Lonchura striata: one gene and its partners. The main gene of each other region encodes a partner of the protein of the gene in region 2 in a complex. Links are inferred from orthologs where the notes say so. Each region holds a gene or a part of one and is shown on either strand. Other genes may lie near its edges.

Region 1 (7,536 bases), on a different chromosome or scaffold from region 2:
TTTTTGGCTTGCCACAGGACAGACCCAGGCTGGGTGCTGCAGGATTTGGGGTGCAAGGCTCTGACTGGCTCTGCCCTTACAGTTTCCGGATGCTGAAATACATTTGTTACAGTAACATCGGGTCTTTATAAAATACATTTCTTACAGTAACATCGGGTCTTTATAAAATACATTTGTAACAGTAACATCGGGTCTCTAAGCACTGAGAGAGGAATAGTAAGCATTAGAACATGAAGAAAGCAGCTCTTACCAACGTATGTTTGCCAAAACTGCATCTGCAAAGGGAAAAAAAGAAAAAGTTTTCTTTGTTTTCTAATTTCTGGGTGTTGTCTGACTGAAGTACCTGGATGGCTCCAAAGCCGAGGGAAAAGGCTGGCAGGGAAGCCACCACCTGGTGTGAGTGCTGAAGGTTTTCGAGCACTGCGGGTCTGCTCCTGGCTGCTCCCTCCTGCTGCCCCTGGGCCCCAGCTGGAGGAGGGAACCAGGGGCTGCCAGAACGTGGCACTCACCGTCTTCTCCTCGTTTTCAAACACTTCTCGGGCTTCCTCGTAGCTGCACTTCTCCTCTATGCACTCCCTCTCCAGGTTGCCAGGAATGACCTCCTCCAGCCTGTTGGAGTTGGCTCGCCTTTGCCGCTGCAGCACCGAGCTCGCCTCTCTGCTCCCGATGAACACTGCCGTGGGAACAGGACAGGGCTGCCAGGGCTCTGGCCTCCCAGGAAAACAAACCCTTTCCAGGCTTCCCACTGCCCCATGGCCAGAGACAGCTCAGGACTGTCACTGTGGGCCTGAGCTTGCTTTATTGCCCCACTTCAGCCCAGCCCAAAGGATCAAATCTGCAGAGCCGAACGTCAGAAGAGTCAACGGGCAGAAATGTTTGATGGCAAGAGGGTGATTGGGAGGGCTGAAGTTTGGTGCTTAAAATACCCTAATGCAGATGGAGTGAGAATCTCCATCACAGATGCACAGAATGGAATAAGCTGTTTCACAGGGGAAAAGAATTGGCTTTTCCACGCTGCTGCTTGGTGAGGTTCTGTTTGGCCCCAGAAGTGTCCTGCCCCTGTGCTGGCTCTGAAAGACCATTAGCCCTGCAGAGCTGTGGCCCTTGGGAGCAAGGGACATTTCCTCCTCTCCCTGCTCCTCATCCTTGGCCACAGCCCTGGCTCCCAGCATCTTCTGCAGGCTGGAGGGGTGACAGGAGCCTTCCTCGCCCCGGGCCACCTCCTCAGTGGGCTCTTTGTACCCACCATCCACAGTGGCCACGCTCCGGGGCAGGGCCAGCAGCAGGAGCTGCTGGCACTGCAGGGACCCCAGGCCGGGTGGGATGGCCACAGGGGCCACCACCCTGCGTGGTGGCTGCCTGGTGAGGGGTAGCCCCATCACGGGCTGCCACGGGCGCTGCCTGGCAGGGCTGTGTGTCCCAGCAGCAGGGACAGCAGCAGGGGCTGTCCTGTGGCAGGGTTTGCTCCTGACCCAGCCCTGATGAGGGTCTCCTTGCCCTCCCTGAAGCGCTCTGCTCGCCCAGGGATGTCCCTGCTTTGCTTGCCCAGCCTCTCCTCCCTCTGCAGCCTCCCGCAGCAGGCTCAGCGTGTCCCTTTTGTCACCAGATGGCAGAGCAGCTCCCGGAGCCTGCTGGCCATGCAGGAAGGGCTCGGGCCCTGCTGAGGCTCAGGGACACCAGGAGCTTGGCCAGGCAGGGAGAGGGGACCGAGGGACGAGCAGCAGCCACTCGTCCCTTGTCACAGGCAGGTCCTGCTCGGGCTCCAGAGCAGAGCCCAGCCCTGCCGAGCCTGCAGGAGATGCCGTGGTGGAGCTCTCATGGGCTCTGCTTGGCACCAGGCTGGCTCCTTACAGGTGAGGAGCCCCTCCACTGACAGGAGACTGAAAAGGCTCCCTGAGCCCTCCCGGTGGGATGTGCCAGGCACTGCCACCGTGAACCCATCTGGGTTCACCTCCTTCACATCCCCCTGGCCTCTCTCCATTCCTCACAGCTCCCACGTGCTGCTCTCACAAACAAAACCTGATGGGGCTGGAGGCTGCAGGCCCTGTGGGGTGGCAGGAGTGGCACGGGGCTGGAAACCATCCTCACCCTGAGGACAAACTCATTCAGCAGCTGCTGAGCCACAGCCTGAGAGAGTGACAGGGGTCTCTAGGCAGGGCACACCTGTCCTGTCCACTCTGTTTTATAGGGGTACACCTGGGTGAATGGTGGCAAAAATACCAGGTTCTGCTCACTTTTCGTTGCTGAGCAAACATTTTGGAAAGAGCATTTTTTTAACCTGTTTCCAGCAGTGTTTTAATGCAAGAAGGAAGGGCAGCCTTGCCGGAAGCGGGAGCTCACACTGGATGTGAACCAGCCTCTGCTGGGACTGTTGGTGTTACAGATAAATCAAGCAACAGCCTGCATTACTGTGTGTGATTGCCACATCCGTCAGGTGCTCTGCCTTGTCTCCAGCTTTGGCTGCATCCCGCAGGCTTTGTTAAAACCACGCTGGCTTTGGCTCTAAACAATCCTCTCAGTGGCAGATCCAACGAGTGTTTCATGGACGTGAGCACTTGGTTGTTCTCCAGGACAAGGTGCTGGCATACAAAGAGGTGGGACTGTCCCTCCACAGCAGCGCTCTCCCCTTCTCCCCTTCTGTGAGTGCCTTCTAAAATGGCCGAATCGAGCTCGGAAAGCTTAAAGGTGCAAAAAACCTAAGGAAAAAATCCATTCTGGAAACTAATCCCTGTGCCACAAGCTGTATCAAGTCGGCACAGAAGCTGTTGTTTCCTTCCCCCAGCGAAGGGCCAGACTTTAAAGAGGAGCTGTGAAAGGCAGCAGTGCCTCTGAGCTGCTGTCCCACAGCCCTGCACGAGCTGTCAGGGCACAGACTGGCATCTGCAGCAGCCTGTACCCCAAAGGGAAGGGCTTGCTGGCTCTCAAATGAACTCACCTGCGTTTTCAGCAGCGAGACAAGCTCCCAGGAGACACACGGAGAGTACGAGGGGGACATTTGCCATCTTCTCCCCCTGCCCAAAGCTCTCGCTGACAGCCTGTCCAGGCGGCCGAGCTCAGCCCAGAGTTCAAAGTGCAGGTTCCTGTTTACTGCCCAGGGCAGCCCTTCAATTTAAGGTCCCCGATGTCCCAGGGGCTGGCAGAGCCAGCTGGGTGCTGTGCCACCACGGGCAGGGGATCCCGGCGTGTTCAGTGGTGCTGGGTGCCCGCAGGCTGCCAGGGCAGGGCAGGGCAGGGAGGGCAGGGCAGGGCTGTGCCCCCCTGGACACGCTCTGCCCCCCAGGCTGCAGCTCCACTCGCTGCTCTGAGCCCACGGCAGCCCCTGGGTGGGGGCAAAGCCTTTCCTCGAGTGTATCAACCATGAATTCTGTGCACTCAGCCTGGAAAATGAGGAACATTCCTTTAGAGGCAAGGGGCAGCAGCATTTATGGTTCATGCTCTTCGGGGGCACCTCTGGGTGCAGCACAGACCCTGCAGCTGAAGAGGAGTTGCTGAATATGAGCTGCAGCCTCGTGAGATCCCTCTTGTCTAGGTGGAAAATATCCTCTATATTCCTTTTCTTGAGCAAACAAAAAGTCCTGAAACCTATAATTCATCTTGTTTCTTCTTGCTCCATTTGAAATGATCTTTATTCATCACTGACAGTAGCTTTTGTTATCAAATTTCTGCGGTTGATAAATGAGTTGGGATGAGGTAATGTGCTGTTGATGTAAATTGAATACAAAGTGAAGAAGGTAATGATCGCCTCTCATTTTCTGTGCATAAGGAAATGCAAATGTGAGAAAATAAATGGAGCTAAAATGCTGAAACAATGCCTCTATCAATAAAGAGGAGTGGGGAGAATGGCTGCCATAACAAAGGATAGTTAGAATCACATTATGCAAATATTTTACTTTAGAACATAGGTCAGTCAAATTCTTTTAGGTTTATGGTGCATATTTCATGTGTAATAGTTTTTGCAACATTATTGCCAATTAATCTTCACAGGGAATGCCAACATATTAGAATAAGCACAGCTATTAACACAAATAATTTCTGTTGTGTACTACTATTGCCATCAACTTCTGGGGCACTAATTGGAAAGCAAAGTGTTTCTTTTTATTTATTTTGCAAACAAATCCTCAGAACTGCGATCCCCAGCACGGGCCCTTTGGGATGAAAGCTTTGTTGTCTGACATCGATCAGATCTGGGTGTATTTTCACTTAGTGTTCAGTGTTCTCAAAAGAGGAGTGGTTAAAGCATTAAATAGCTTTGCTGTGGCAATGGGCAGCTGGGCGATGTCTCTTCTGGTAGGCTGTGTTTTTTACTGAAATATCCCTTTTTTGTTGGGATGGAAGCATCCCACAGGTGCCTGCTGGGCCTGTGCTGGTGGCCGGGCAGAGGGAGCTGGCAGGGCAGCTCGTTCCTGGCAGGGTCAGCCCCTCTGACTGCCCCTCCTTCAGAGGAGCTCCCTGCTGCCAAGGGAGATGGAGCAGGTGAGCAGTCAGAACCAGAAATCTCTTTCCATTTGAATCCGAGAGATTTTTTAAAAATGTGCTCTGCTGCACTGATCATTAATGTTGAACAGCCTGATGGCTTGAGGATCTTGTTAAAGGATTGCTCTTAATCTCCCTTTTCTCCAAATGCACTCCTTTAAGCGAAAAAACCTCACTCAAAACCTGAAGCAATTTGCCCTTACTCCCTAGACAGCTGTGCTAAATAAAAAAAAGAAACCAAACCAAACCAGGGGAAGTAATGCTTGATCTTTATTTTTTTCATACTCTTTATGTGATTACTTTGGGGTTGCTGGCTTTTTCTGAATGTGGGAAATTAATTCCTGCAAACAAAAAGGCAGCAGAGCTCAGTCCCTCCCAGGCTGTAAATGAACGTCCTGGAGAAAGTCCCAGCACTGTAAAGCCCCACCAGACACCCAGGGGTGCTCGGCCAGCAGAGCATCAGTGCCTGCCCAGCTGGGGCTGTGCCCAGGGGATTTGGGAGCCTCTGCCACGGCTCTGGGACCAGGGGCACACCCAGGAGCTGCTGCTGCCCCAGCCCTGGGCTGTGCAGGGGATTTGGGCCAAAGGAGCTGTCTGGGCTCAGGGGTGTGAAATTGCATCGAGGTTCAGCTCTCAGAGCTGGCAGCAGGGTCTGTGATGTTGCCTTGATTTTTAAAAGTGTTAAGTTCTCTTTTATAGCTCTTTTAAAAGTGTTTAAGTTCTCATAAAGCTTCTTTAGCCTTCTGATAATGTTTGCATATTTAAGAGACAGAGTTCCCACACCATTTCATGGAAAAACAGAATACTTTACATATTTCTCTGTGGGTGGAGAGAAATGATTGATTGATCTTTGGAGCAGTGTGGTTGGAGAGGTGGTAATTCCATCCTCCAATCCACGGTCACCCTTAGAATTCTATAAATACCAGATATTTGAATAAAACATGCTTTTTTTTCTCTTCTGAACTTCCCAAGCTCCTGTGTACTCATTTTGTGTCCAATAGAGACATGTACAGGAGCATGGCTGGCTCTGCCATCTCCCACAGCCTCTCCTGACCAGTCTCAGGGCTGTCAGTTGTGAGGTGGGCACTTCTCCTCTGCACTTTTATGCTTCAATAATTGTGCCGAGAAAAGGCTCCCTTGCTGAATTCCCTCTAGATGCATCCACTGCAGTTAGCACTTAGCTCCGTCCCTCCCATTTCATTCTGGTTTTAATTAGACTCCTGAACAGGAGCACAGAGCAAACTCTGCTTTCATCTGGGAGGTCCTGTGGCTGTGAAATATTTACAGGAAGTAAATAACTGTCAGTAAATAAGTGCCTGACTCTACATGAGTGTAGAAGTGCTTTGAAACAGTCTCATTCAAATAAAGGCTCCTCACGTTGAGTGGCAGTAAGAAAAGAGCAACACAGGCAAAAAATCCCCAATGTAGAAGATAAACACAATTACTAATTCATGGAGCAGCACGTTTCCCAGTAGCAGCTTTAGTATCTTTCCTTGCAGTTTGATTTAAAATAGGCCAGATTAAAAGGAAATCTGGATTTGGTCTGGTCATCATCTTTTCAGAAAGCAGAGTGCAAGCACAGGTAGACACAGTGTGCTGCTGAAGCCACTCTAAATTTAGAATTCACCATCTCCACCCCAAACTCTGGACAAAGCAGTGAAATAAAGCTCAGCTCGTGCAGGTGGACAGGTCAGGCAGATCCCCAGGCTCAAACATCAGTGTACAGAGCAGAGCTAAATTAAATATCAGCTGGAAATCTGCCTTGCTGCTGTGTCCTGGCACGAGCTGACACAGCCCTGTCAGGCCAGGCACGTGTGTGAGCCCGAGGCTGGTCCTGGCCAGGCTCGAGTCCGTCACTGGCAGGAGGATTCAGTGTGCCCTGCTGGGGGAGGGAGGGGTCTCTCTCCTTTTCTGTTAACTGGGAAAGCAGCCTCAATTGACAGCTCACATTAGACATCAAACTTTATTCTTGGAGAGCTCAGACTGGGGTGAAATGAGTCTGAACCAGCACAGCCAAACCCACCAGAGCCAAAGCTCCTGCACCTACCACTGAGCTTACAGTAACAGCATTCGGTGTTCTTGTTCTGCCCATTTTCTGAGGCAACATTTGTGGCTATTCCCTTGTTCCTTTTTGTTGCCTGAATCATATTTAATCTGTAGTTTTTATCCTCTCCTCATCCCAGGGCATCCTTGTGTCCTATTTGCTTTTCCCACCTCCCTTTCTTCCTGCCCTTTGTAGTTTGCCTTCTTGCCCTTCTGGAACAAAACTGTCAGTGGCATCAACACTAAAACCCAAGGGGGGGATTGCAGAGAAGAGGGAGGGATATTTCTGAGCTGTGCATCCCTGACTGACAGCCCCAGTCAGCGCCCTGAGTCACAGGTACTCGGAGCTCGCTCTGATAACTGCTTGTAGAGCATCCCTGCAGCTGGGGGCTGCAGAGGCAGCTGCAGACACCGAGAGCCCTCCCAGGCTCGTGGGGCTGCTGCAAGAGCACTGAGAGGGGAAATGCAGAGAGGGATGCACAGGCTGCACTGCCCACCGCCACCAGTGCTCCCAGGGAGCGAGCCTGCCCTGCTTCCAGGCACTCGCTGCCACCTTCCCCCCAAAATCCCCAGAGCCCGAGCGGTGGGACAGCAGGAAGTTCACAAACCTGGTGTTCTAGTGCTGTGCCCTGCTGGCTTCTCTCTGCTCCTGCCCCAGTGCCTGGGTGCTTCTCTGCCTGCAGTGCCCGCTGACGGGGCTCTGGCCTGGCAGCCCCGAGCCAGCAGAGCCCAGCTCTGGAGAGAATCTGCAGCAAACCCTCCAGAGAGGCAGCCAGGTGCTCTGCAGGCTCGGGGAGGATGGCAGCCCCTGCCCAGGGGGCATTCAGAGCGTGAGGTACAGGCACAGGGCAGAGCCCTGCTGCTGGAGGAGCCTCTGGCGTGAGATCTGTCCCGACCCTCTGCAGGGCAGGGCTCCACTCTGTGCAAGGCAGCACCAAAGTCTGGGTTCATCCTCCTGCATTTAATCATTTGCACCAGTGCAAGGCCAGGAGACAAAACTGCTCTGTCAGCACAGGAATA
Region 2 (7,269 bases):
TATAGTGTAAGGACGCTGCCAGGCTCACCTCAGCCTTACAGTACTTTTCAGTTACTGATGTAGGAGGTACTATGACAGAGAAGAAAGGTGATAAGGAAAAGGAAAATGTCTCCAAGGAAGCTGGTCCCTCCGTGGACTGAGCATCTACATCTCTAATCCCCCAAAAATGTACTTTATGAGCAGTATGGTGTAGCTGGTACATCACACCAATTCCTGCCCAAAGTTCATATCACCTCAATGCAAACTGGTTGTCCTTGGTACCTAAAGAGTGCAGGCTAATGGCAATTATTGTGTTCCAGCAAAAGTAGGTCTCTGAAAATCTTCCAGCAAGAGAGAGATAATTTGTATTTTTCCCTTTGCTAAAGCACACTAAACTTCAGAATGGTTTCAGTTAAAAGGAACCTTAACTATCATCTGATTGCACCCTCTGCCATAGGAAGGGACACCTTCACTATCCCAGGTTGTTTGAAGCCTTGTCCAACCTGGCCTTAGACATTTCCAGAGATGGGGCAGCCACAGCTTCTCTGGGCACCCTGTGCCAGGGCCTCACACCCTCACAGGGAACAATTTCCTCCTAAATCCCATCACCCACCAGCTCTGGCATCAAGGCCTCAAGAGCCATCCCAGGGCCTGCATGCTGTGGTTCTAAGATGCCCTTTGCATGACTGCTTTGTTTATGTAACCCATGGGAGGAAGCTCAACACCACAGCCACAACAGTTTGGGAAACAACTATTAGGAGGGACTGGCAGCCTGCCCAGGTCTTGCCTGCTACAGGGCACTTTTTCAAACATGTGTCTAAGTTAGGTAAGTCTCTGCCTGCCTGCACATACTCACTGCCATGGCTACCAAGCATTGCTCTCTGAGAAACTAAATTAAAAGTCAACTGCATTTAGCACTGGTGACCTCCAGCCTGTGATCTTCCAGTGCTGGTGGGCCAGCACCTGCTGGAGGAAAACGGGAGCAGCTCAAAGGCTGATCAGGAATGAAGGAGACCTCGGGGCTCTTCCACACCCCCTCCCTGAGCTCTTGGCCAATGACTTCATCTGTGCTCCAGTTCCTCTGCAAAAGCAGAAACTACCTCATCTGGCACCAAGGCTGTCTGGAGCCCAAGGCTGTGTGATAGCACAGCAAAACATGAGGGACTCACTCAGGCCATGGCCACAGCTCTCACTGGTAATGACACATAGATCATCTCGCAAAAGGTTTAGGACAGATACAATACCACAAAGGGTAAAAAAAAAAAATCTAAAAAGGAGAGAAGTTAACCAATTAAAAAACAAAAAACAACACTCAGGCCAAGAGAAAGGAAAAATATGAAGACAACTGAAAATTGCACTCCAGGAAGTGCTGTTCTTCCAAACCTTTCAATCCCACAGGAAAAGTCAGCCAGCAACAAGCCAGACACACTCCAGTGTTCTGCAATCCTGGGGCCAGGAGCAGAGCCCTTCACTGCCTGCAGCAGCCCTCCCTCACCCTCACCTGGTCCTGCAGCTCCAGCAGCACCGACACACTGGTGGCCAGACCCACCATGGGAAGGACAACCCCATCATGGTCCCTGCCCTGTCACTGCACTCACCTCCAGGGAAAGCCATGTCCTGACCCTGTCTGTACAAGAACAAACACCTGCTTCTGTCAAACCAGAAGCAGCTTGTGGTGTTTGCCATCACACAAAGTGTTGTTAATCTAATCTCATATTTAGGGACCAAAGCACAAGAGTGGGGAGGGCACCTTCATCCTCACCCTGTTCTCATTAAATGAGAAAGACTCCCTGTTTTTATCTGCAGCAAAGCCCCGACTCCATCAGTTCAGGGAAGATACAGGACTTTATGCTAACCCCTTAAATCTACTTTACCATCCATTAAGGTTGATATGGCCTCTGACACATCCAATCTTGTCTCTTATAGGCAAGAGCCTCTGCTGTTTCTTAGAACAGCTCTTTGTCACAGCTTTTGGCCAAAACCCACTCCTCCTCCTCCTCCTCCTCCTCCTCCTCCCACAGCTCTTCAGTGCTCCCTTTTCCTTTGCAGCACCAACATGCACTCCATGTGTCAACCTGGAAGGAGGCCAAAAGTATTCCCACAACAGCACTGCCTGAGAAGGATTACTGGCAAGAGGGAACATAGAAATTAGAAAAGGTTCTTACAAGGGTGAAGCAACACAAAGTGCAGAAAACCAAGAAACAAGTTGCTGATTAAGCTCAAATCAGAAGGCTCTGGGGAAGCATCGAGAAACTTCCCGATCCCTTGGCTGCTGTACGACATGGTTGGGCTCTCACCAGCACACACCATTTCCATCCCCCTCTTCCATGGCTGCAGGACAGGATGATTAATTGGGCTTACAGACTCCCAGCACCCACCCTCCTGAACCTACTGGGGCTACTGGTAGTGGTGGAAATGTCCCACAGCACCCAAGCACTGTGCTACACAGCCCAGTCAATATAAAATAGCTCAAACCATTTTGAAATTAATTTAGGCTCTTGAGAAGCCTTCCCCACTGCCTCACAGCCAAAACCAGAGTCCAAAGGAAACCAGCAGTGTACTTTTGCAGCCAGCAGTTACTCAGGACTTCCTGACTTCATTAACTGCCCTCCACACCATGACTGCTGCAGGCTGGGGGTAAGACAAGTCTGATGATTTAGAACACCAGCCATCATGACACCTAGGGGTGAGAGGACTCGCTCTAATAGAGCAAAAAGCCACTCTGGCAGCAGCTAAAATTCATAGGCTCCTACTAAGGGAAAAGAAGCTGTTTCAAGGAATTAATTAACAATGAAAGATGTGTGGAATCTATTTTTCTTACCTGCCCCTGTACCTCCAGCCTTCTGCTTTTAGGAGGTAAATTCAATTTTTTGAGAGAACAGTCTTGCTTGAGCCCAAAGCAGTTTCCCCACTGGATTTCTGTGCTCAAACAGAGCTGAGACAGCAGCAGGGGATGGTGGGAGGGGAGTAGGATGCTAAGGCCAAAGGCTGATGACCAGCTGCTGAAGGTTAAGCAAAGAGTAGGAAAAAAGAGGCAATGTTTAGTTTGAAAGAGGTTTTAAAGTTCAATCTGACAAGGGAGAGTTTGACCACCTACCCCATACAAGCGTCACATGCCCTCAGTTTTTGCCAACAGAAAATGAACTGCTTATCCCATGAGAAAAACCTTAAACCCTTCAAGAGTTTGAATAAAAATTATATAAAGCTATTTGTAGATCTAGTTTAGGGATCTTGGAGCCAAACAAAATGTTTCCCCCATCTGTCCCAAGCCCTGTCACCTGTTCCCTGTTTCCTGAACAGACAAGTTGGGAGAAATTGCCCCAGTTCACATTCTGCAGTTTCAAATATATCCCATCTTAAACACACTCACCTGGAAAGGGCCCCCCAGGGAATGGTCACAGCCCCAAGGCTGCCAGAGCTCCAGGAGAGTTGGGACACTTTCAGGCACAGGGTGGGATTGTTGAAATGTCTGTGCAGGGCCAGGAGTTGGACTCTGTGATCCTGGTGGGTCCCTTCCAGTCCAGGATATTCTGTGATTCTGTGACCTTTCACTTGCAGAGCTGGAAAGCTGAGGATTAACAGCAGCTCCCCCAACTCCTGCCCAGATTCACAAGGCAGAGCAGTGAGCAGAACTGAACACAGTTTCTATTCCAGGATGCAGCTGCTCTACAAATTCTGCAGCCTTGCCTCTGAAATTTCAAATCGCAGGAGCAGACTCTCCAGTGAGAGGAACATTTTCCCTTAATGGAAAATGCAACTGCAAACTGGTCTGGGTTAAAAGACCTTGCTGTATCAGTATGGGACATAGTTAAATGGACAGAGATTGTGGAGATAATTTGAAGGGTAATGTAAAAAACATCCTCCATGAGAAAGGAAGGACTCACATACTGTACCTTGTTACTTCAGGTTTAATTTTTTGAGGTAAATGACATGCTCACAGATCCCAGGGTTTTCAGTGATTAGGGATGCTCCGCACCCAGGCAGACATCCAAGCACAGGTTTCCATTTTCCCAGTGCTCAGAGGTAGTTTAAAGCAGTAAAATGAAAAGTGAACAACTATGCACATCCCACAGAGCTCCCAAGGCATTTTTTCCTAGGGTAACTGAGTTATTGTAACATTTGAATGCAGCATGTAAATGGTAATTTATGGCTGGTTTAGCTCCAAGCAACAACCCAGCATTCACATCTGAGCAGAGCTATCCAGGAAGCACCCAAGATGGCCAGTGTCTTAATCCAAACTGCTAGATGCCTTCTTTGCTCTGATGTAGGGGCTGTTTTTCTCCCAAACTCAAAGCAAAGATCAGAGACTCAAAGCCATCAAGCACCAAAGCCTGGCAGCCTGTGGCAAGACAGATGAAGTATCATGCTTTGGTTTTAGTCTCTCCCACATTTTTAGTCCCCAGGGAGCTGGAGTTCACAGTTAGGAAGGAGGTTACAGAAACAACTGAACACATCCTAGCTGGAAAGAAACAGTGCTTAAACATACCTGATGGGTGAGGAGGAATATAAATAGCCTTAATTTTGTTTTGTGCTTTGGGTCTTCACTGTTGAGTTTCATGGCTACACACAGGGAAAATGACTCTTGCACTCACAGAGCAAGATGGAATCAAGGCTCATGAGCTAGCCTTTTCAAGACTTTTTTCTATCCTGCTATCCATATCCAAAGGGGAAAAAAATTCCAGCAGGTACCATCCACTTGAGCCTGGTCTCCCCTCTTTTCCACATGAAGAAACTCAGCAAGTTTCCCCCAATCTCTCTTGATGCAGAGCACCCACTTCTTTCCAGAGGGATCTGACTTTCCAGTGCTCCAGATTTTCCTTTTAAAAGCCAGCCACTGTTGGAATTCAGCTCTTTTTTTTCCCTTCTGAAGTGAGTCACTACATGAGGATTCTGAATCCTCAGACTAATGGCAGAAAGGGTAAGGAAACCATCACCAACTGAAACTTAGTTTTCTGCTGGCTTTCCCACTAAACGGAATTTCTTTATAGGAATTGAATGCTTTGACCCACCCAGCAAGTAAGTGTAGAGGTGTGAGGGGGCCTAATAATGAGCAGTGATGGGCTTCAGCCCAGCAAAACACACCTTACCTTGATCCATGGTGCCCAGGCTCAAGCATATTAAGACAATAGTAATGAACATTATGCATGAACTCGAGGGGCAGAAGGCTGTGCTTGCCCTGGAGTAGAAGGAGCAGTTTTTCAGTGAAGCAGCAGCTTCATCCAGTTTCAGATTTACAGCTAATGACTTGTTAAAGACCACAAAAAGCTGTAAAAGGAGAAGACTAAAAACCACAAAGCAGACTGTGGAGCAAAACTTACTTTCACTTTAAGGCAAGTTCCAAACCAGGCTCAACGTTAAGACAAATGCTGCTCACTCTTTGCTCTGAAGGGTTTGGTTTGCTTTTAAAATATGTACACTCTGAGCAATTAAAAAAACTTGATTATTTTGAGCATCTTTTCTTGTTCACCTCTGGTGAACAGGTGAAGGACCCACTTTGTTTACAGGTGAAGTCAGAAGAGAGCAGACCAAACCCTGGAGATGTGGCTTCTCTGCTATTTGGCATCTCTTATGCTGCAGCCCAGCAAAGAGCACACACACCCTGAGCTGATGAAAATCTTACTCAGATGGTCCAACAGTCTTACACCTCACACAAAATTTAAAAGAATGTACAATCATCCCAGACAGAAAACAAGAGATACTTCAAAGTGTTCTTCATTAATTTATCACTTAATATAAATGCTGACAGAAAAGCAGGTAAGACCTTGTAGACACTTCCATCTATTTACAAACCAAATAGTGAATCACTTTTCCACTTTTTTGTTGTTAAATCTGCAACTCAAAGGACCCTTAGACATTCTGTGAGTGCAAGGTGGAGTCAGGGAGAAAGAGGGAGAAAAGCAAGGTAAAGAGGGAAGAAGAAATAGCATTTCAACATATGTTTTTTTCTATGTAACTGCCATGCATTTACAGTAGGTCTCCCTTGTTCTTTCACACAAAAGTGACACCGTTGCCTCTATAGGTCTGAGAATTAAATAAAGACCAATACTGATTTTTCAAATCTCTGGATCCTCTTCCCTTTTGCCTCCTTCAATGCATTCCCACTTCAGCAGAGTACCTAGAAGGTTTTTCTTTCAAGTCTAAAAAGTACATGGTAGGAGTAAAGACACAGGGAGTTGGATATAGAGAACTTTCTTCTACTTCTTTTGTTATCTCAGTTTTCCCAAGAGGTAGCAAAGCATCTAACCTTTCCTGGAAAAGACAGAGCAATTCCCCATGTACCTCTGAACATCTCCCTCATGATCAAGCCTGTATGTACAAAACTTCATAATTCCTCTGAACTTGCAAATAATTCAATTTATGTAATTTTTATCATACATTCTACTTTGTGTATACTCCTGTTGTAAATATTTTGATAGTCACAAACAATACATAGCCACATTATCAACCCAGAGGCAGCCACTCCCATTAAGGAATTTTTGTTTATGGGAAAGAGAAACAGGAAAGGAAGAAAACAGCAGAAGAAGAAAAGCAAGGAAAAACACAAGGAGAGAAAGAATGATATTTTGTTTAGCACTGAATCATGAGAACAGCAGATGTAACTTCACTTATGTAGGATCCTAAATAAATTTAAGAAATAGTTCATAACCTGATTCAACAAATGTCATGGTCTCCTTTATTACCTAGACTATCCTTTATTTTATTTTTTGTTAAATATACCTCTGCAGGGCACAATCACATACAATCAATACGATTGGATAATTACATGAGCTCTATCCCAAGCATATATGCACCGATGTTAAAAAGTTATTTAAAAAACAAAACAAAACAAACAACCCAAAAAATAAAATAAACTCCACCCAAAAAGGTGATAATGACTGCAGAATGTCTCGGGGAGACTTGTAAGGAACTAACAAGATCAAAGAAAATTAGACTTACAAAAACCACCAAAAAAAATCATATATCGAGAAATCCCACAACTGGAAGTAAATGATTTCAAAGAAGTGGGAGCTGTAATATAGACCCCACAATTCTTCCTCCTTCTTCACACACAGGTCTAGCTTCACCTCTTCCTCCCCATAGCAACAAATACAAGGAGGGGAAGAGCTTAACACAACGCTACCAGTTAAAGAAAACAGGGAAAAATAGCCAAGCTACAGAACAGCTGCTAAGCTGAATTCAAGGAAAGATCCTTTTAGCATGAAAGCTGCTTACACAGCAAGCAGAGGCTAAAGGGGGAATGGGAACTCCTTAAAATTAGGGGAAACTCTAGAAGTGATTAGTTTTGCCCAT
Region 3 (6,958 bases), on a different chromosome or scaffold from region 2:
TTGTTGCTTCTAGTCTCTATTTTTGGAAGAGAAACTTCTGCTGTGTGAGAAGGCTCTCTCCTTTACCAGTTCTTCTGAGACAGAGGCCAAGCCCCAGAGGAGATGGCTTTGTACTAGGGAGAAACGGGAATGTGCAAGTGTAGGGAGATGATCCTCTATGTTCAGCTTAATGATGAGAGAAGGGTATCTTCTCTTTACTTGAAATTGTGAGTATTAAACTGCACACCTTCACAGGAGAGAACGTTAAGGCAGGCAGTCAAGCATAAACTAGTTATTTTGTTCTAAAGGTAGGCATTCAGACCAAAAAGCATTATGACTCTTGGCTGTCACAAATTAGAGACAGCTGGGCCAGGATTCTGGGGTGACTGACTAGAAAATACTGTAGTACATTCCAAGGTACTGCCGATACTGGTTTTAATTTAGATCTACATTAGTGTAATCTAGAGAAAATAGCTCATTATGTATGGGCAACTCAGTGACTTTTCTTCCTCATCTCCTTTACCCTTTAAGATGCAACTTCTCTACTCCTACTGACCTCTGTTCATGTAAGCATTCCCCCTCCTTAACCCTCTCCTTGACTGCTTTAGTGTCAGTCTCAGTGCAGTGTTTTGCTGTGAGTGAAGGGCTCTCTGGAGTGCTGGGGCATACCACACACGGGGATAGGACACGCCTCCCGTTCTACTGTTGGGTTTCGGGTATAGCACCACGGGCCTTCTGAGTTGTTGTCTGGGTTCCTGCAGTAGTTCTCAATGAGGTTGGGATAAATGGTGGCATTAAATCTATGAGAGACAAAGCTGGTTAGGCTAGGAAGGAAGGATACCCCAGAGAACTCTTAAGGGGTATGTGGGAGATGAACTTACTTAGGTATATGTGGATACTTGCTTGTCCACACTTGACATTCAATCCCAGACTTGGTTTGGCTAATTGTTCCCTGATAGTTCTGGCCCAGCCCAAGAGCACAGTTACCTGTCAAAATCCCAACAGTGCAAGCCAGTCAGTGGAACTGGATGTTGCATTTTGCAAGGTCAGAAGTACCATCCCCACATATCCCTTTAACTTTTGCTGGGTGCATGAGCCTGCAATAGCAGAGGCATCCTCTTCCTGTGAGAAGCCTAAGCTTTCTCTGCTTCATCAGAGGGAGCTGTCTGTGAGGGCTCTGTGCTTTGCTTTGGCTCAGAGCCTTTCTCAGAGGCTGCTATTTCAGTGCACAAGCCAGATTGTCTGTTGAAATGATTACTGGGGAAATAAAGAGTAAGAAATAATTTCAAATTCCTCCCCTTGTATTTTTCTTTAAAATTAGATGGCTTCTCTAACATCAGTTAAATTTCTTTTCTGTACAATCTCTGCAGGAAGCAAGTTCCTGGCACTCACTGTATCTAGGAGATTGAGGTCAGCATGAAGTTCATACCTTCTAGACAAGCATCCAGAATTGTCCTGGACTTTCCCAGGCCCTGACATACTAGCAAAATAAGAAGAAAGAAACACATTGTATGAATGCAATCCAAATAAGCATCGTCATTTGAACCAGGTTACCATCTAGAGACAAAACACAAGTGCTTAGCCCTGGAAAGTGAGCTCTTAAAAGAGGGAGCCATCTCTCCAGGATGAGACAGTGCATTCTAAGGAATAACAATACCTGCAAGACTCAAAACAACTTCAACTTACCTTGGTATTTTGACCAAAATATATCCTGTAAAAAAAAAAAAAAAAAAGAAAAAATAATTTAAGGACACAGAACATCAAACATCAAACCTTTCTGGGCTACCGCTATTGAAACCAGTAAGAGAATGTTCCATAACAACAAAAGGAAAGACTAATCTAGTTCTGTTTATACCAATTACTATGGAGTCAAAGCAAAAATGTGATGCAAAACCACATTCCCACACATCAGACTTGGCAATCAAGACAGTACTGTTGTTTCTAAAAAGACCAAAGATGTTTACAACCTTCATCAACCTGCAAAGCAAGCAGTGCAAGTAATGCAGTATGCTACAGTGCAGAAGTCCAAGCAGCTGAACCTGGAATTTCTAAGGCCATAGATCACATGTAGGTATTGCTCATCTCTGCCATGCAGCTGGAGGCTGATTGTTTTTGAAGTACTCCAAAGAGCTAGTGTCTTGCTGGCTTAGGCTCCTAACTGTTTGTTTATGGGTTTTTTGGGTGTGAAATTCTGCAGGGACACCAGCCTTGGGTCTAGGAACAAATCCCAAAAGGATGCAGTATCGGACAACTTTGACAGAGTGAGTGAGTCTGGAAGGCAGAAAAATAGACAGGGTGTGCAAAAGCAAAAGCTCAAGGGAGTCTGAGCAACCTGCACTTAGTGTTTTGACTACTATGCCAGTGCTTCTGTGGGTGTCTGGGATAGCAGTTCGCATGTATGGTACCATGCTGAGCTGGTGGAAGGTGCTTTTCGGGACCAATAGCACCTTGTCACTTCATGCATAGAGAGGGAGAGAAAAGAACCTGAGCTTTCAAGTGTATTCCCTGCAGGTCTCAAGAAGGGAAACTCCCTAAGGAAGCCTGAGCTTGCCGTGGGGCATGCACTCATCAGCCTCATCTTTAGCTCACAGAATTGAGTATTACAACCCTGGTCCCTGGCTGTGTGGGCAACCTGCTGGTGTCTCCCCACAGAGGCTGGCTGGGGGAATGTTTCCCGGTACGTACCGTCTGATCAGTGGATTCAAGGGCTTCGAAAGCCTCCTCATAACTGCATGTCTCCTCCAAGCACTCTCGCTCCAGGTTTCCCTTAAGCATCTCTTCTAGAAATCCCTTGTTGGCACGTCGGTGGCGCTTGAGCAGTGACAATGCCTGCCCCTTTTCCAGGAAAACTATCAGGTCAGAACACTGCCAGTCAAAGGGCTGCTCACAGCCAGAGGGCACCTTTGTCTCCCCTTGCAGTTTCCAAAAACCACATGCAGCTGATGTGGTGATCCCACAGCCCAGCCTCCCCCAGCACACCATACAGAGAGGAGAAGCCCTGTCATGTCTACGCTTGATGATCAGAGCAGGCTCACTGGAATTCATCCCATCACAGCTCCCATCACTTAAGGAACAGAAGCAACAGGAACACTGCTTCCTCGGCAAAGCTGCTCTGCTCATTTGCAGTTAGATAGAGGCTTGTTTGCTTTGAGCCTGCTGCTGTCCCTATCCCCAGCCACTGTATTTCTGTCTTATAAGTCTCAGACCACTGTGCTAAACACAACTTGGTTCCAGTTCATGTTCAGAGCCCCTGATTTGAGATGTGGAGACAGGTCTTCTCCTGCTCAGTAGTGGGTTGAAGAGTACTTAACCTCATGTTAAGAAAAGACAGAAGCTCCTTAGGGAGCAGTGAGCAGGCAGGTGGAATATTTTGTATGACCTAAGGTTTTGATAAGGCACAGCAGGACAAGCAATAGAGAATTGAAGTCATCTAGGTCAGCTGAGAAACTCTATTCCCAAAAGCCCCATGGTTATTGTTAGACTTGATCCTGGACCACAGTCCCCTCCCTGCCATTTCCCAGGTGACCCATAAAATGCACTGAGCTGCTATCACCAGCTGGCAGATGCAGCTGCATCCTCCTATGTTCACTCCATTCTCAGCACCCTTTTGCTCCCAGCTTCAAGCTTTTAGCCTGTCCTCCTGACTTGAGGAAGAAAACTTGCCACCTGTGTTACCCCTGGAAAGAACTATCTCTGTCTTCCCCCTGTCATCTACTGGTACTTCTGCCCTTGAGTCTTACCTCCAGCATGGCTCAAGGTGAGGTGCAGAAGGCTGGAGAAGAGCAGGCCCCTCAGTATGTTGGTTTTGTTCTGCGCCATGCTGTACAGCCGTGGCTGCAGGGGAATTGCAAAGGAAGCAGAATAAGCAGATTCACAGCCCTGCTGGGTTAATATTGAACCAGAATGAAGAAACAGGACTCCAGGTCATGGTGTGTCAGGGACAGTGGGACTCTTATCCCTCCTCTTTTGGCATCTCTCCCTCCTGTCAGAGCATCTTTGTTTCCTTACTTAACTTCCTATTTCATATCTAGGATGATGCATGAGTAGCAAGAGGGCAAGTTTGTCCTAGGGTACAGGGAAAATTTGGGCTGGAGAGAGATACCTCTGCCAGCTCACAGCCATCCCAGCCAGAGAGCTTGCTCCTTTTCCCTGGCTTTGCTCCTGTGCAGCCCCTTGGCACCATCACTGCCTCCCCACCATGCTGGTTCAGGTCCTTAATACTGACTGTTCTCAAAGGTTGTACTCTAGCTACCTCAAACACAGAAGGACTTTGAGACCTCCTTAGCCATTCCCAGTCCTCTTTTTAGCTGCAAGCCCCCCTGAGTGTCCCTAGTGCTCAGTTGTCTTTCCTTCCTGCAGTTATCAGTAAGCTCAGCCTCAGCTATTTTGGCACCACAACACAGTTTGTGTTCTCCCTTCTCCCTTGCCCATGACAATGAGCAGAAAGGGTGCCTTTGACAGCCCATTTGGGATTTAGATTTTCCTCCCAGTTAGGTTAGTTACCAGTGCCATTGGCAGTGCATTCTTCGTAATGCCTTATAATTCCCAGCTGAGTGGAAGAGGATGAAATAGCATGAAGGCTAGGCTCCCCCTTTTCTTCCCCCCTTAGTGGAATGTACTAAAGTCCATCTAAAAGGAAACAGAAACTCTGACAAGCAGGGAGCTAGCACACCCCAAACCAGCCAGAAAAACAAGGGCTTCCAGGAATGGGGAGAGAGGAATGGTCTGGATGTAATGACATCAGCTGTTAAGTCAAGAAGTGGACTACCAGAGCTGGGAAGGCTCTAATGGTTGCTACAGCAAGCAGACTATTGGCAAGAGTGGAAAAACAGCAGAAAGCAGGGCAGCATGGGGGTAGTCTCAGGAATCTGCCACATGGAGCAAAAGTGCTTCCTGCCAGCAGGGAGCATATTTTGTCCTGTGCCTCTGTGCAGCTGATACATCTGTAATGTTTATCTCCATAGAAGAAGTGCAAATATTAGCATTAGGGTGGCTGAAGAATGACTCTGGACACTGGTACAAAGAGCAGTTGCAGAGTCTTCCTTCCTCACATAAGAGTATCTCCTGTTCTCATCCACACACATCTCTACTCCTCGCTATGGATTTTGAAAATACACCTTTAGAAATGGCTGGAATTCCCTGGGTGGAAATGACCTGGGTGGAGAGTGTGTGAATGGGATTAGACACAACCCTGGAAATCCCCATGTTACTTAGCAGGGGAAGCAGCATTTAGGTAGAGAGCGCAGGCAGGGACAGGGAAAAGCACAAACAAGAATGGTAAGGTCAGGCTGCTGCTGTGTCCCACACAGCCACCTCCACTCCTCACTGGAGGAGGAGCAGCTTTCAGTCTCCTCAATCACTTTCTTTTCTGCATCTCTGTCTCTTCTTTGTAACAACCAGGCAGCTTAAGTCAACGTTGTTACGCATAGATTTTTACCCTCTGCTTGTCTTTCCTTTAAAGGAAAGGTCTTACCACCTTCCATGGGATCATGCAGTATATAAGGCCAGCTTTAAGCAATGCTACAATACAGCAGTTAACCTTGGTTATCAGACAGGTATGAATATCTTCTAATACCCACTTATGCCATCTTCCTTAAACATTACTTCTGTTCTGGTTCCTACATTTATTTTGTTGCTTAAGCATTTGTTTGAAAAACCCTTACTGAAACTGATGATTCTGTCACTATGTCTGGCTGTTTCTTGCCCAGCTGCTTTCTGCTGCTGCTGCTCTTTCCCGAGCGATACAAGACAAACCCACCTATCAGGGCAACTAAGTTGTTAACTGTAACTGCTGAAACTTCTTATCTCTAGATTGCTCAAGGATACATCTATCACTTAGATGTCTTCTATTTCTTTACATTTTGCTTTGTAATTGGAGATTTTCACTACATCCTGGGACCCTTTCCAGCTCTTTCTGGTGTCTCACAGCAATGTTAGTAATTAAAAATGCTGACTCTTCACACTGTGGCCTTTCTCCTTCCGTAATGTGCTTCTAGGGCTCCTTTCTGTTTCTCCCATTCCTGTGGTTAGCCTCTGCAGCAGCACAGTATGCATCAGCTATCACCACCTCTCCAGGGATGACTTCCACCCCTCCAACATTTACCTCTTCCATTCAAACCAATTTTTTATAATTTCATTTTCTTTCTGCCTTCACTCACCTATGAATGATGGATGCTATTTTCTTTCTTAGGACAAGAGAGTTAAGATACCTTTTCCATCCAGAGTTACTGCTTGTAACACAGTTGGGAATTTTGATCTCTTTCGTCCTATGTGTTAATTCTTCTTTTTAAGTAAAGAAATTTGGCTTTTTTTTTTCTTTTTTTTCTTTTTTTTTTTTTTTTCCTGTGTAACTTTTCAACTTCCAGGGAGCAGAATATAGGGGATTTGGCCTTGGCCCATTTTCTTGGACCTTTGTCTGCTCTGTTATGGATAGTTTGCTGGTTCAATAGTTGAAGCGTTTATTAATCTGTTCCTAAAGTGAGTTATACAGTTTGATCAAAGCAACATCTTGGATACAATCAGAAACATGAAACCTTTATCCCTTCACATGGGAGTTCCCCTGTCCCCGAGGGCCAGGACCCAGAGAATTGTCTCCTCCCTGTGCAGCCTGTTCCTTTTCATTCAAACACCTTGGTCAGGTTTAAGCCAGTTTACAACTTGGCCAGGAACTGAACCCTGATTGTGGTGTGAGGTTTAAATGTAACACTTGTATGCATGCCTGACACCTGGTGTCACCCTGCCAGCACAAAGGACCCCAATCATCCAAAAGACCTTGGCATTTGTCACCCAGGAGTGTTGCAGCAGCACCCCAAAGATTTGGTGAAGCCTGCCAGCATGGTGGACTTCATTACCCAGGAGAGCTCTGTGCTTGCTGCTTGAACCTATTATGGGTACACAAAGCAGGCTGTGTAGCTGCTCCCCATGCCAGCATATGGCACCAGGCAGGCACATATCCTTTTCCTTGTTATCCTTCTTCCCT

Evidence for each region.
Region 1: the proteins of SERPINC1 (region 2) and F9 are in contact, whole or in part, in a crystal structure (PDB 3KCG), measured with the Homo sapiens proteins. The link is inferred for Lonchura striata from reciprocal best matches to the Homo sapiens genes SERPINC1 and F9. Residues at the interface, in NP_000479.1 of Homo sapiens: Glu264, Asn265, Arg267, Glu269, Met283, Met284, Tyr285, Glu287, Met347, Val349, His351, Val420, Val421, Ile422, Ala423, Gly424, Arg425, Ser426, Leu427, Asn428, Pro429, Asn430, Arg431; in NP_000124.1 of Homo sapiens: Lys247, Val248, Asp249, Ala250, Phe251, Cys252, His267, Cys268, Glu270, Glu285, Tyr312, Arg358, Phe360, Lys362, Gly363, Arg364, Ser365, Leu367, Lys387, Phe388, Asp405, Ser406, Cys407, Gln408, Gly409, Asp410, Ile429, Ser430, Trp431, Gly432.
Region 3: the proteins of SERPINC1 (region 2) and F2 are in contact, whole or in part, in a crystal structure (PDB 1TB6), measured with the Homo sapiens proteins. The link is inferred for Lonchura striata from reciprocal best matches to the Homo sapiens genes SERPINC1 and F2. Residues at the interface, in NP_000479.1 of Homo sapiens: Lys258, Glu264, Asn265, Arg267, Tyr285, Glu287, Gly288, Lys289, Glu345, Met347, His351, Ala419, Val420, Val421, Ile422, Ala423, Gly424, Arg425, Ser426, Leu427, Asn428, Pro429, Asn430, Arg431, Val432, Lys435; in NP_000497.1 of Homo sapiens: Leu389, Leu390, Cys391, His406, Cys407, Tyr410, Pro412, Trp413, Asp414, Lys415, Trp455, Arg456, Glu457, Asn458, Leu459, Asn506, Thr510, Trp511, Thr512, Ala513, Asn514, Val515, Gln519, Arg541, Ile542, Asp562, Ala563, Cys564, Glu565, Gly566.

What each region holds. Positions count from the first base shown.
Region 1 is NC_134616.1:732,855-740,390, reverse strand, and holds the start of F9 (coagulation factor IX), read right to left. Parts: upstream 3,083-7,536; 5' UTR 3,003-3,082; coding exon 2,936-3,002; intron 674-2,935; coding exon 510-673; intron 276-509; coding exon 251-275; intron 1-250. UniProt on the Homo sapiens protein: Factor IX is a vitamin K-dependent plasma protein that participates in the intrinsic pathway of blood coagulation by converting factor X to its active form in the presence of Ca(2+) ions, phospholipids, and factor VIIIa.
Region 2 is NC_134611.1:27,402,066-27,409,334, reverse strand, and holds the start of SERPINC1 (antithrombin-III), read right to left. Parts: upstream 3,008-7,269; 5' UTR 2,801-3,007; intron 1-2,800. UniProt on the Homo sapiens protein: Most important serine protease inhibitor in plasma that regulates the blood coagulation cascade. AT-III inhibits thrombin, matriptase-3/TMPRSS7, as well as factors IXa, Xa and XIa. Its inhibitory activity is greatly enhanced in the presence of heparin.
Region 3 is NC_134608.1:38,795,460-38,802,417, reverse strand, and holds the start of F2 (prothrombin), read right to left. Parts: upstream 3,100-6,958; coding exon 2,665-3,099; intron 1,691-2,664; coding exon 1,666-1,690; intron 1,460-1,665; coding exon 1,409-1,459; intron 967-1,408; coding exon 861-966; intron 780-860; coding exon 649-779; intron 1-648. UniProt on the Homo sapiens protein: Thrombin, which cleaves bonds after Arg and Lys, converts fibrinogen to fibrin and activates factors V, VII, VIII, XIII, and, in complex with thrombomodulin, protein C. Functions in blood homeostasis, inflammation and wound healing.